2 linked regions of the Macaca mulatta genome follow. The protein of the gene in region 1 purifies or fractionates together with the protein of each later gene. This does not show direct contact. Links are inferred from orthologs where the notes say so. Each region holds a gene or a part of one and is shown on either strand. Other genes may lie near its edges. The genes, in order: FGF11 and SIRT1.

Evidence for each region.
Region 2: the proteins of FGF11 (region 1) and SIRT1 purify together in Homo sapiens (affinity purification with mass spectrometry; 3 studies listed by BioGRID and IntAct, with this or other methods). This does not show direct contact. The link is inferred for Macaca mulatta from reciprocal best matches to the Homo sapiens genes FGF11 and SIRT1.

Annotation. Positions count from the first base shown.
Region 1 is NC_133421.1:8,922,119-8,928,876, reverse strand, and holds the start of FGF11 (fibroblast growth factor 11), read right to left. Parts: upstream 4,598-6,758; 5' UTR 3,231-4,597; coding exon 3,038-3,230; intron 2,080-3,037; exon of another isoform or gene 2,028-2,079; coding exon of another isoform or gene 1,856-2,027; intron 1,809-1,855; exon of another isoform or gene 1,406-1,808; coding exon of another isoform or gene 1,390-1,405; coding exon 1,279-1,389; intron 1,085-1,278; coding exon 981-1,084; intron 231-980; coding exon 32-230; intron 1-31. Other genes in the region: TMEM102 (transmembrane protein 102), read right to left, coding at 5,337-6,649, 6,757-6,758.
Region 2 is NC_133414.1:81,874,800-81,881,457, reverse strand, and holds part of SIRT1 (NAD-dependent protein deacetylase sirtuin-1), read left to right. Parts: intron 1-85; coding exon 86-202; intron 203-1,555; coding exon 1,556-1,797; intron 1,798-5,074; coding exon 5,075-5,227; intron 5,228-6,658. UniProt on the Homo sapiens protein: NAD-dependent protein deacetylase that links transcriptional regulation directly to intracellular energetics and participates in the coordination of several separated cellular functions such as cell cycle, response to DNA damage, metabolism, apoptosis and autophagy.

The sequences.
Region 1 (6,758 bases):
GTGGTCCTCATTTTCTTGAGTCTATACCCACCCTCCATGAGCTTAGGCAGAAAGTGGGCGGCTGCCTTGGTCTTCTTAACTCGGTTTCCCTTCATGACCTGGCCCTCCTTGTCCAGGCCGAGGTACCAGGCCCGGCCAGAACGACGCTGGCGGTAGAGAGCAGAGGCGTACAGGACGTAGTAATTCTCAAAGACACACTCCTTAAAGCGACACTCAGCTGTGAAATGCGGCTAAGGAGACAAAGACCCAGAAAGGCACACAAAGACAGAGAGATAAAAAGACACATCACTGGGCAGGAGGGAGCTCATGGAAAGCACAAGCCAGGATAGATAGATATAATCCATATGCTTTTTGGGGGAGGGGGAGGGCAACTTCTGAGTCCTTGTAGGACCTGGGAGCAAAGGGAGGACAAGGAAGAGGCCTGGTGGGCCCTTGAGGGCTAAGAACTAGGCTCTGGGCCAAGCGCAGTGGCTCATGCCTGTAATCCCAACACTTTGGCAGGCTGAGGCGGGTGGATCAGCTGAGGTCAGGAGTTCGAGACCAGCCTGGCCAATATAGCAAGACCCTGTTACTATTTAAAAAAAAAAAAAAAAGAACTAGACTTTTAGGGGTCTTGGAATAAGATTCCTTCTCTCCACTGTATTCCCAATTTCTCACTATCCCCTATCCTGGATGACTCTAGGGAAGTGAGTAATGACAAAATCTGGAGGAGATGGGATGAGTAGGGGCCCTAAAAGGCAGAAAGAGTTGGACATTCAAAGAGCCTGGGGCTGTGTTGGGGGTGTGCAAGGAGTGGGCATTGGAGAGACCCTAGAGGAGTTGGTCCGGAATGGGCAGTGATGACAGGCCATCAGCAAAAGCTGGAGGGAGGAGTCCCAGGCAAAATGTCTGTAGTTGAGGAAGACTGTCATTCCCTCAAGGGATAAATTGAGGAAGGGGAGTTCCCGGTATTCCCCAGCCACTCAGCCTCATTGTCTCACCGAACTATAGAGCAGTCCCTCAGCATTCATGGCCATGTAGTGACCCAGCTTGGCGCTCTGGATGGTGACCACACGGAGGCCTACAGGGATCAGGTTGAAGTGGGCTGGGGGTGGAGAGAGGGAACATCAATACCCAGGCCTCTGACCCTCACCTGAGCTCCCCTCATCCCAGCTCCGCATTTTCCCTTAGGGGTCAGGAAGACGGACCAATGGCAACAGAAGCTGAAGAGGGAATAGGATTGTCATCTGCTGTCCCCATTCTCCCCCTTCCCACCCGGCGGCCAGCTTCCCCTCTCACTGAAGGAGCTGGTATCCTCTGGGGTGCCCTGGATACTTCCGTCGGGATTCGCCTGGAGGTAGAAACCCTGGCGGCAGAACAGTTTGGTGACGATGCCTTTGAGCTGAGGCTCTGGAGAGAGAGACATTCATCTTTGAAAATGACATCTCTGTTCCCAGAAACATTCCTACACTTGGCAGGATCAGAGGATGAAAGGAGAATGACAGGAAGGAAGAGGGTCCCAGGGCCCCAGCTCTCTTACCCTCCAAGCACGCTCTCTCCCACCTCCCTTTCACTCCTGGGAAAGCTGATGTGGGTCCCTTCTGCTTCCTATAACCAGGAGCTTTCAGTGTAATTTATTGAAATTTATTTAAATGGCTTAATTCCTACCCTACAGCTTAACCAGAAGCGGGGAGGAGTGGGGGAGGAGGGAGGGGAGAGATATATCAAAAGGCAGGGACAGAGGGAGACCAGCAGGGGTACCGAAGGGGCAGTGTGTTTGCGAAGGTGGGGGACAGTGGCAGCAGCAAATTGACCACAGGGTAGGGGCTCTCCCTCAGGGGTGGGGGTGGGACTGGGCCTGACGCTGACTCAGCACCTGCTGCGGCTGCCGCTAGCTTGGCGAGAGCCTTGCCTTGGCCCGGTGCCGGTCTGTCTGACACTGACCCGTCTGTCTGTCTGTCTGTCTGCTGGCTCGCGGGGGCCCAGCTCTCCCTGAGGCTCAGCCTCTCCCCTTCGGCCAGGTAACCCGCCTGGGGTAAGGGGGACATCACCAAGGATATGGGGGGTGGGAGCTGAGGAGATGGAAAGGCAGGCTGAGTCACGTGGGGGCCCGGTCCCACTCAGAGGGTGGGCTGCGGATTGTACCACTATGGGCAGCCGGTGGCGCGGGGAGGAGGGCGCGAGGGGGCTACCCTTAAGGGAGTTGGGAGCGGGCGGGAGCAGGGCCAGAGGGACTCCCTGACTGTCGCACCTGGACGGGGACCACACTCTAACTCTCAGAACTCTCCTCCCCCATCGCTTGCTCTCTGCCGACTTCCCTGTCCCCCCTTGTAGGTGGTACGACCCCCAAGAGTCTGCGCCCATCTCTAGCCGTGAACTGTGTCTGAGTTCCTCCCAGCGTAGGGTCCCCTGAGCCTACGGGACCCGATTTCGGAGTGGCGCGGGGGTTATGGGAGGGGGTGCCCAGCTCCGTTCTTGAAGCGCAGGTCACGGGAGGAGGGCGCATAGAGGGCTGGCTGGCGAGGTAGCTGCAAGGACACCCGAGGGAGAGCTGGGGAGATTGGCTCGGAGCCAGAAGAGCTCGACCAGGAGGAACCGAGCCCAGGCGTGGAGGAGCGGGAGAACCGGGGCGGGCAGGGGCTGGGGGGGCGTGCTGCTGGAGCTGCAGAAACCCTTGGGGTGACCCAGGCATCTGGAAACCCCCAGGCCTCTCCGCTCCAGATTGAAAGAATCGCGAGAACCTGCACGTAGGCGGAGGACGATGGGGGTGGGGACTGCTGTGTTGGGAAGGGGGGACAAGCAGGAACTGCGAGGCTTTCGGGGATACAGACTTAGCCCCTCAAGCCTTCCCCTTGACCTCGAAAATAAGGAGACTCCGGGTTATGGACTAAAGAGAAGGGAAACTGAGGCACAGTCTGGCAGGGACTTTGTAGTCCTGGCCCACCCCCTTCCACTTTCGAGGAGCCCCTCAGCCGGGCCCTATCCTTCAGAGTCCCTGGCCTCAATCTCCCAGGCAGAGAAACCTCTGGCCGGGAGACCCCGCCCCAGCCGCACTCACCCGGGCCGCGGTCCGGCCGCGCGGGCCGCCCCCCGCACAGTCGCACCTTGGACAGCAGGATGAGGAGCTGCTTCTGGCAAAGGGACTTGGTGCCGCGGGGACACACCCGCCGCTGTGCCGACACCGGCCGGCTGCCCCCGGGCTCGCGGACCTCCCGCTTCTGCCGGATCAGGCTACTGGCCAGCGCCGCCATGGCGCCCCGGGAGGAGACACCCCCAAACCGGCCAGCGCCAGGAGCGCGCTGGGCTCCAGCCCGCTCACTAGGGCATGCTCTTGACGCTCAGGCCCCGACTCGCTGCCCCACCCACAGGACCTGAGGATAAGCCCCAGAACCCCCCACCCCACGTACACCCCTCCACAGCAGCCAGTTGCCACCCGTGGGCCCAGTGCTGGCTCCACCGGATCCAGCAGCCTATGTACTCCTCAGTGGATCCCACCCTCGAGTTTTGCCTCCTACTGAAAATGTCCCCTTTCCCTCCTCTCCAGTGTCTGTCCCCACTTCACCTATCCCAAAACCAAGACCCCCCAAATTTCCAAGACGTGGTTAAAATATCTCCAGGCACCTTTCCACTGTATTTGGGGGCACACTTCTACCAAATCCACTCTTGTAATCTACAGGGTGTGGGACTTTAGCTTTGGGGATATTCGCTCATCCCACCCCTACCGGGGCACTGCCAATGTCAGGAAGGAACCCAACCTTGGTGTTTTTTCCTTTGCTACACTCTAAATGGAGGGGATCCCCCACTTTTTTCACTGAAATCTCCCCAAAATATGTCTCAGAGTATCCAGGTTGCCCAGATTCAGTAAGACGGGGCTCCCAGACCCTCTGGCTGGATAACAGCTTTTTCACCAAGTCACCCCCATGTCTAGTAGCATAGAATTCTAGCGGCCAAGACCGTTTCTTCACCTTCACACCCTCCGCTCCTTTTGAAGTCACCTCCAAATCCACCCTTCCTAGTGGATACACCACGTAGTTGTCTGGAGGGCCTTCCACCACCTCAAAATGAGGAGCATCCGTGTTTGCTTTTTTTTTCTCCCCTGGCTGCCCCTTAAATTTTCTTGGGGACAGCTGGTGCTGTTTAGATCCCACGCCCTCCAATCTAACCAGCCCCCCGAGAGAGGAGTGCACCCACGTTGTCACCAGTCCCCAAATGTGAACAGGCCCCCCACAAGTCAGAGCGGATCACAGCTTCCTGCGACAGGGCTTCCTCGTCCTCCCCGGGATTGCCTATAGCACCCCCTCTTCCTTTCCCCGACGCCCCTCAACCTGTCCTGTCCTGTTGATCCGGCGACGGGTGGCGCTGGCTTCGGCTCCAGGCTCCTCCCTCCCTGTCCCCCGCAAACGGAGCTTCCCCCCACGCCCGGCTAGGCGTCCCGGACCCTGGGGAAGGAGTGAGGGTGTCTCTGCAGAGCTCCCCGGTCCGGCGAAGTCAGAGCACTGGGCCGGTGGCTGGACCAGGCAGAGCGGCGGCAGCGGCGGCAGCGGCAGCGGCTGTGGGAAGCTGAGGCGGCGGCGGCGGCGACAGCAGTTCCCCCTCCTCGGAGAGCCGGCCCGGGGGCGGGGCAGGGGGCGGAGACGCTGGGAAATAGGAGGGTGAAGCCGGGCAGGAGGAACCCCGGGGTTCCTTGGAGGTAGAGAGCGCGGACTGTGTCTTACAAGCAGGCAAAGCCGAGGCAAGGCCGCACGTCTCAGCCTTCAGAGAAGGAGGGACAAGAAGGCCTCCCGAACGCACCTCTGGATAGGAAGGAGAGGTTGGGCCCAAGGGAGATGGAATGGCGGACGCTGGGAGAATGGAAAGGGACCCTACTAGCCGGGATGTTAGCGAGGACAGAACAGCACGAGGAAAGTGGGGGAAGAACTGGAGAGATGGAGGAGGGGTAGTGGTGAGATCCAGCCTCGGGCGAAATCCGGCCTCCTTCATATCTCTGCCTTTGTGTGTGAGCCAAATTGATCAGACCCTGGTCTCCATAACTCCTTTCCGCGTTTGGTCAGCAAACATGTTTCTCCCATTTCTATTGACCCTTAAGAGAAATGACCAAAAGAACTGGGGACAGACGGTTTCTGGAAGCTGCCCCTGGGCGGAGTGCTGGCCACAGAAGTGTAGAGTAGCGAGGCTGGAATGGGGCAACTTGTGCCGGGGCAGGCGGGTGGTCCTAGAGGAGGAACCAACAGGGAGGCCTTCCAGAAGGGGGGCTTCAGGCCCAGGGCACACAGTCAGTCCCCCAGGCGAGGGGCGAGCTGTGCCCCCCACGTCTCGCTCGCCCACAGAGGCACTTTCCACTGGTAGGAACAGCATCTTTAATGGGCCCCGCCCCCCACGCCGGCCAAACCGCCCCCTTTGCGGGCCACCTTGGCCTCCTCCACCGCGGCACGGAGGGCCCGGGCAGGGTCCCCGCGGAGCCGGACCAATTCTCCGAGCAGCGCAGCGGAGCCGTCCCCGGTACGGAGCTCTCGGCCGTTCAGAAAATAGTGAGGCAAAGTCCCAGCCTCGAGCACTCGGCCCAGCTCGTCTAGCAGCCCGAGGCAGCAGGCGCCCGCATTTTCTGGCCGCGCCAGGTAGAGCGCGGGCAGCCGCTCGCACGCCCAGTACAGCAGCGTCCGCAGGAGGTAGGGCGCCGCTGCCCGGGTCCCGGCCACCAGCGGGCGCAGTAGCGCCTGGGCCGCCGCGTGCGCCTGTAGCAGCGGCGCTGGTATGCGCGCTTTGAGCGCCAGCTCCTGGCGGGCGAAACAGAGCTGCCAGGCGGAGGCGCACGGTCGCTCGGTGCCGCCACCGGGCACCAGGTAGAAGGAAGCTGACTCAGAGGCCAGAGGACCAGCCCATGAGTGGCTCCGAGCCCCCTCGGGCCAGCCGGCCACGGATACCACTGGGATCAGGTCGAAGAGCAGGAGGCGGCGAGGGGGATCAGGAGTAGCCAGAAGGACGGTGGTGAAACCCGCGTGGCGAGCTGCGTGCACCAGACGCGGAGCACCCGGGACAGGGATCAGAGACTCGGCGACGGCCGCCAGCGTAGCAAAGAACCAGGTAGCCACCTGGGAGGGACATAATGTGGGCCACGCTTCCCGAGCCTCCGACGGCTTTGGGACTGGGCTTTCGACGTCTGCCTTGGTGACGTCACTACTCAGTGTTTTCAAAGGCGCGCTAGAGCCAAGGTCGACGACGTCATACTGAGGCAACTCGGACGATGAAACGTCACTAGGTGATTTTTCCAAAGACACTGGCGCCTCGTGCTCAGTGACGTAGCTGTGCGGCTGGTCTACAGAGCTTTGCCAGTCCTTGGAACTTTCTTCGATCTCCGTTCGGTGGATCGAATCACGTGCTCCTGGGACTGGGGGTCCTAAGCAATCCTGCCACATCTCCCGGATAGGGGTTCCGCACACCAGCTCTGGGAGGCAGACCTGTGCGTAACAGGATTCCAGGTCCAGTTGCACTTCAGTGCCGTCCAGTGAAAACATGGGCACTAGGAGTGTGAAGCCGGCATCGTAGTGAGGTCCTCGGGCGTAGGGACCCAGGGGTGCATGCCCCAGATCCAGGGAGCCCTCGCGAATCCCACCACGAAGCAGCAAGAGCTCTGCCTGGGGAGGAAAGCGAGGGTCCCGGCGGTGAACTAGACCTAAAAAATGGAACGGATCGTGAGGGTGTCGCCCAAAGCCGGGGCGGGGGCGGGGGCGTAGTGAGGCTGAGAGCTGTGAGCTCCCAAAGGCAAGTAGGGTTACTTACCA
Region 2 (6,658 bases), on another chromosome or scaffold:
ATTGCTCTATAACCGTTTATAGGTCTTCATACATTTTAGGTGCATATTGTTTTGGCAGCCTTGACTGACTTGGTTTCTTTTGCAGATAACCTTCTGTTCGGTGATGAAATTATCACTAATGGTTTTCATTCTTGTGAAAGTGATGAGGAGGATAGAGCCTCACATGCAAGCTCTAGTGACTGGACTCCAAGGCCACGGATAGGTATGGCTCAGAGCTGTTAACTTTAGAGAGTAAATGTATGTTTTTTGATAATTTTGTTTTGAGGCAGAGTTTCGCTCTTGTTGCCCAGGCTGGAGTGCAATGGCGCAGTCTCGGCTTACCGCACCCTCCGCCTTCCGTGTTCAAGCGATTCTCCTGCCTCAGCCTCTTGAGCAGCTGGGATTACAGGCATATACCGCTATGCTCGGCTAATTTTGTATTTTTAGTAGAGACGGGGTTTCACCATGTTGGTCAGGCTGGTCTTGAACTCCCGACCTCAGGTGATCCGCCCGCCTCAGCCTCCCAAAGTGCTGAGATTACAGGCATGAGCCACCTCTCCCAGCCTCATTTGTACCCTTTTTGTGTAGTGTTCTTCATCCAGTTAGAATATCTTCCTCCCTCACTTCATATTCCTTCTTTGTTTTTTTCACTTTATTTTACACTTACCACTTCTTGACAAGCTCTGTATCTTATTTTTTAAATTGTATTGTTTCCTGGTCTAGAATATAAGCTCGATGGGAGCAGGAATTTTTGACTGACCTGTATACTCCTGTCTTGTCAGTGCCTAAAAAAGTGCCTGGCACATAGTTTGTGCTCAGTAAATACTTAATAAATATGTGAATGAAGCGGGAAAGTATTTCGATATAGAAAGCATTATCAGTTTTTTTATACCAAAGGTATAACATAACCATCTTGAAAGTGGATCTTTTTATGTTCTCACTCTTACAAATGGCTTGACTATTTAAACAGTGAAGATCAGTTTCTCTTTGGTGTCTGATTTATTTATTAATTTTTTTTGGTTTTCTCAAGCTAGGGAGCTGGTTTGAGCAATTTCAGGGTAAAAGAAAATGATTATTTCTCAGAACATCAACATTGTATGTATTATCTTGGAAGATTGGTTAAGATCAAATTGAAAAATTACCGGAAAAAAATTAAGATGGCAGTTATGTATAGATTTTCATTTATTTTTCCTGTGTGGTTTTAATGATAAGTAATACAGGCTTTTAGGACTGGTAAGATCTTTTCTGTGTTGATTTGTAGAACCCTTTGGTAAATACTTTTGTTACTGTGTATTTCTAGGTATTAACCATAAGAACTTAATTCTAGTTGTTAATTAGACTCTTAAAATATATACTTATAGCTCAAGGGGGTCTTCCCAACTCTTGATTAGATCTTCCTAATCTCATTGGGATATAGCATTAATTTTGAGGGTGTACTGAGAATAGAATACCATTAAATTGCATTTTCTTACTTTGCAAAAAACCCTCACAGGTTACTAACTCATTACTTCAGAAAATAAATGAGATTTTTAGTTACTTGATAAGTTGACTTTAAGTCTTTTCCCCCTTATTGTAGGTCCATATACTTTTGTTCAGCAACATCTTATGATTGGCACAGATCCTCGAACAATTCTTAAAGATTTATTGCCGGAAACAATTCCTCCACCTGAGTTGGATGATATGACACTGTGGCAGATTGTTATTAATATCCTTTCAGAACCACCAAAAAGGAAAAAAAGAAAAGATATTAATACAATTGAAGATGCTGTGAAATTACTGCAAGAGTGCAAAAAAATTATAGTTCTAACTGGAGCTGGGGTATGTAAGACTAGTAAATGTGGGAAGTCGTATATGTATTTTCTCATGCCTTTTCCAAGTAGGAAGCATTTTTCTGGTTTAGAAAGATTTATCCTTACGTGATAATGGATGTTTGGAAACTGCCAAAAACTGAGTGCAGCAGCAGTTGCTAAATTAGTTCAGATTTTTAAAACCTCTCCAACAGCCTTAAAAAAATATTTGCTTCTGCTTATTTATAGCACACTGGATAAATGGAGTTAAGGCAAGATTTTTACCTGCATTTTATTACAGCTCCTAAAGGAGATGCAGGGAATTGAAACTGCTTTTGTTAAGGGATGTCAGAGTCTGATGGAGAAATTGGCTATTTGTTCGATCTTTATGAGAAACTGGAAACCTACTTGGTATTCACAAGTGAAAAACTTAACGTTGGGAAGATAACAGATTCCTGCCTTCCCTCCGTTTTAATTAAGATGATGTGATTGTGGCGACATGTTCTCTTTGATCTACGTTAGGGTTGCAGCTAATTAGTTACCTAAGGCTATTGCATAGTGTGTGTTTTATGCAGAGTATATTACATGTTAGCAGCCAGAGCAACTGCTGTAAAATTTTGTCCTGTTTTCTGCTGTTTCGAGTTGTGAAAGGGTGTTGCATAATCTTAGATGATCATCAGGAGAATGTTTTGCTCACAGATAACGATGTAGACAAGTTTGTTTAACTTGAATTGACCTTGACTCCAGGTCAAATTGGAGTCAACTCTGGTAAGATGATGAAACAATAACTTCTGGAATCGCTATCTGAAATGTCAGGATTTTTTTGTACGATTAGTGCATAAGTCTCAAAGAAATGAATAATTGAAATATTACATTTTTTTTTTTTTTTTGGATACAGCGTCTTGCTGTGTTGCCCTGGCTGGAGTGCAGTGGTGCCATCATGGCTCACTGCAACCTCAGCATCTCCTGGCCTGTACAGTGTTTGTTTCCTTTTTTTTTTTTTTTTTTTCAAGAGAGACAGAGTCTTGTTCTGTTGCCCAGGCTGGTGGAGTGCAGTGGCACAGTCTTTTGGCTCACTGCAACCTCTGCCTCCCGGGTTCAAGCAGTTCTCTTGCCTCAGCCTCCCGAGTAACTGGGATTACAGGCACACGCCACCACACCCAGCTAATTTTTGTATTTTTAGTAGAGACAGGGTTTCGCCATATTGGCCAGGCTGGTCTCAAACTCCTGACCTCGTGATCTGCCCACCTTGGCCTCCCAAAGCGCCAGGATTACAGGCGTGATCCACCGCGCCTGGCTATACATTGTTTTTTTAATGAAAAAGAAAATTGTAGTATTGAGGTAATAGAATCCTAACTAAAGGAGCAATTTCTTTGGAATTATTTTTCTGTAATAGAAATTCTTGGCTGGTGGAGTGCCTCATGCATGTAATTCCAGCACTTTGGGAGGCTAAAGTGGGAGGATCACTTGAGCCCTGGAGTTCGACATCACCCTGAGCAACATAGACCCTGTCTCTACAAAAAATTAGCCTGGTGTGCTCGTGTGTACTTGTAGTCCCAGCTACTCAGGAGGCTGAGGTGGGAGGATTGCTTGAGCCGGAAAAGTTGAGGCCACAGTGAGCCATGATGGCACCACTGCACTCCAGCCTGGCATTAGAGCGAAAGTGTCTTAAAAAAAAAAAAGAACAAAAGGCCAGGCACGGTGGCTCACACCTGTAAGCCCAGTATTTTGGGAGGCCGAGGTGGGCAGATCACAAGGTCAGGAGATTGAGACCATCCTGGCTAACACGGTGAAACCCTGTCTCTACTAAAAATACAAAAAATTATCCCTGCGTGGTGGCGGGCGCCTGTAGTCCCAGCAGCTCGGGAGGCTGAGGCAGGAGAATGGTGTGAACCTGGGAGGTGTAGCTTGCAGTGAGCTGAGATCGTGCCACTGCACTCCAGACTGGACAATAGAGCAAGACTCCGTCTCAAAAAAAAAAAAATTCTTCCCTACTTTCTCCTTAAAATAATTTATTGAAATGGTTTATTTTCTTCTCAAATTGTATTTGCTTTAATTTGTTGGCTAAATGCTTAAAAGGCTTAAAATTAGCCTGACTTAAAAATTCCTTATTTGTGTTAAAGATGGAATATGAGGTGTATTTAATTCTTCTCAGTTATTTGGGAGTTTTATTTCTGAAATAAGGGTAGGGTTGTGGCCGGGCGCGGTGGCTCAAGCCTGTAATCCCAGCACTTTGGGAGGCCGAGACGGGCGGATCACGAGGTCAGGAGATCGAGACCATCCTGGCTAACACGGTGAAACCCCGTCTCTACTAAAAACTACAAAAAACTAGCTGGGCGCGGTGGCGGGCGCCTGTAGTCCCAACTACTCAGGAGGCTGAGGCAGGAGAATGGTGTGAACCTGGGAGGCGGAGCTTGCAGTGAGCTGAGATCCGGCCATTGCACTCCAGCCTGGGCGGCAGAGCGAGACTCCGTCTCGGAAAAAAAAAAATAAATAAAAAAAAGGGGTAGGGTTGTATTTTTATTATTTATTTATTTATTTATTTATTTTTTGAGACAGAGTTTCACTCTTTTTGCCCAGGCTGGAGTGCAATGGCGCGATCTCGGCTCACCGCAACCTCCGCCTCCCGGGTTCAAGCAATTCTCCTGCCTCAGCCTCCCGAGTAGCTGGGATTACAGGCATGTGCCACCACCCCGGCTAATTTTGTATTTTTAGTAGAGACGGGGTTTCTCCATGTTGGTCAGGCTGGTCTTGAACTCCCGACCTCAGGTGATCCACCTGCCTCGGTCTCCCAAAGTGCTGGGATTACAAGCGTGAGCCACCGCGCCCGGCGTATTTTTATTTCTTTTTTTTTTTTTTTTTTTTTTTTTTTTTTTTTTTTTTTTTTTTTTGAGACGGAGTCTCGCTCTGCCACCCAGGCTGGAGTGCAGTGGCCGGATCTCAGCTCACTGCAAGCTCCGCCTCCCGGGTTCACGCCATTCTCCTGCCTCAGCCTCCCAAGTAGCTGGGACTACAGGCGCCCGCCACCTCGCCCGGCTAGTTTTTTGTATTTTTTAGTAGAGACAGGGTTTCACCGTGTCAGCCAGGATGGTCTCGATCTCCTGACCTCGTGATCCGCCCGTCTCGGCCTCCCAAAGTGCTGGGATTACAGGCTTGAGCCACCGCGCCCGGCCATTTTTATTTCTTAAAAGACATTTCATTCTAAAATTTTCTTTCTCAACTCTTAGCTAATTATATGGTAAGAGAGCTAGCTAGTTCCTGTAAAGGTAGAAGATTTAATTTTACAAATTATGCCATGCACATTTTAGGTGTCTGTTTCATGTGGAATACCTGACTTCAGGTCAAGGGATGGTATTTATGCTCGCCTTGCTGTAGACTTCCCAGATCTTCCAGATCCTCAAGCGATGTTTGATATTGAATATTTCAGAAAAGATCCAAGACCATTCTTCAAGTTTGCAAAGGTACTATGAACTCTTCTGGTTGTTTCTTTGGCTTTCTCTCATGAAAATGTATTTTGTTCATATATAGCCACCTTAAGGTTATCATTCATTGTTTAGTAAAGTGGATGCTGCTACTGTGGCGGAGGAAGATCACTCATTATGGCCAGAATTCCCTTATTCCTAGAGAAGGACTATCATCTACTTCATTTTAGAGTGAGCTTATTTTCAAAGAGACAGTTTCATATTTTTAAAATTTGCCCTTCAGCAATGGTCATTATTCTGCCTGGGCTTTTTAAAGAGGTTTGTACACCATATAAAAGTAACATAACTTGTGATTTTTAATATTTTATTAGAGATTGTAAAGGCGTTATAACATTACTTTGGTGTTCTGTAGTCAAATTTTAACAAGGATGTGCCTGAAAAATCATTTCTAATTAGAGAATGGGAAGATTCTTGGGTTGCATTTTTGTCAGCAAATTGCAGAGGAGCCTTATTCTGTATAGTTGCACTGTCCAGTTCAGAAGCCACTAGCCACATGTGGCTGTTGAGTACTTGAAATATATTTACATGTGCAATAAGTGTAAAAGATATATCAGATTTTAGAGATCCAGTATGGAAAATACAAAGTATTTCATTAGTTTTACTTATCAAATGTTAAACAAATATTGGTTTTTATATGGAAAAAATACTTTTTTTTTTTTTTTTTTTTTTTTTGAGACGGAGTCTCACTCTGTCGCCCAGCCCAGGCTGGAGTGCAGTGGCGCGATCTCGGCTCACTGCAAGCTCCGCCTCCCGGGTTCACGCCATTCTCCTGCCTCAGCCTCCCGAGTAGCTGGGACTACAGGCGCCCACAACCGTGCCCGGCTAATTTTTTGTAATTTTTAGTAGAGACGGGGTTTCACCGTGGTCTCGATCTCCTGACCTTGTGATCCGCCCGCCTCGGCCTCCCAAAGTGCTGGGATTACAGGCGTGAGCCACCGCGCCCGGCCGGAAAAAATACTTTTTAAAATTAATTTTGAATTCTTTTGAAGTACTTTTGATACTGGGTTAAATAAAATGTATTTTGGGCTGTGCATGTTGCATCATGCCTGTAATTTCAGCACTTTGGGAGGCCAAGGTAGGAGGATCAGTTGAGCCCAGGAGTTTGAGACCAGCCTGAGCAACATAATGAGACTCCGTCTCTACAAAATAAATAATAAAATTTGCTGAGCATGGTGGTGTGCACCTGTAGACCTAGCCACTCAGGAGTCTGAGGTGGGAAGATCCCTTAAGCTCAGGAGCTCAAGACTCAAAGTGAACGATGATCTGCTACTGCATTCCACCCTGGGCAACAGAGCAAGAGTGTTTCAAAAATATATGTATATTTTTTGAAGTTTTTACTTTTTCTCTTCTTTTTTTTTTTTTGAGATGGAGTCTTGCTCTGTTGCCCAGGCTGGAGTGCAATGGCATGAT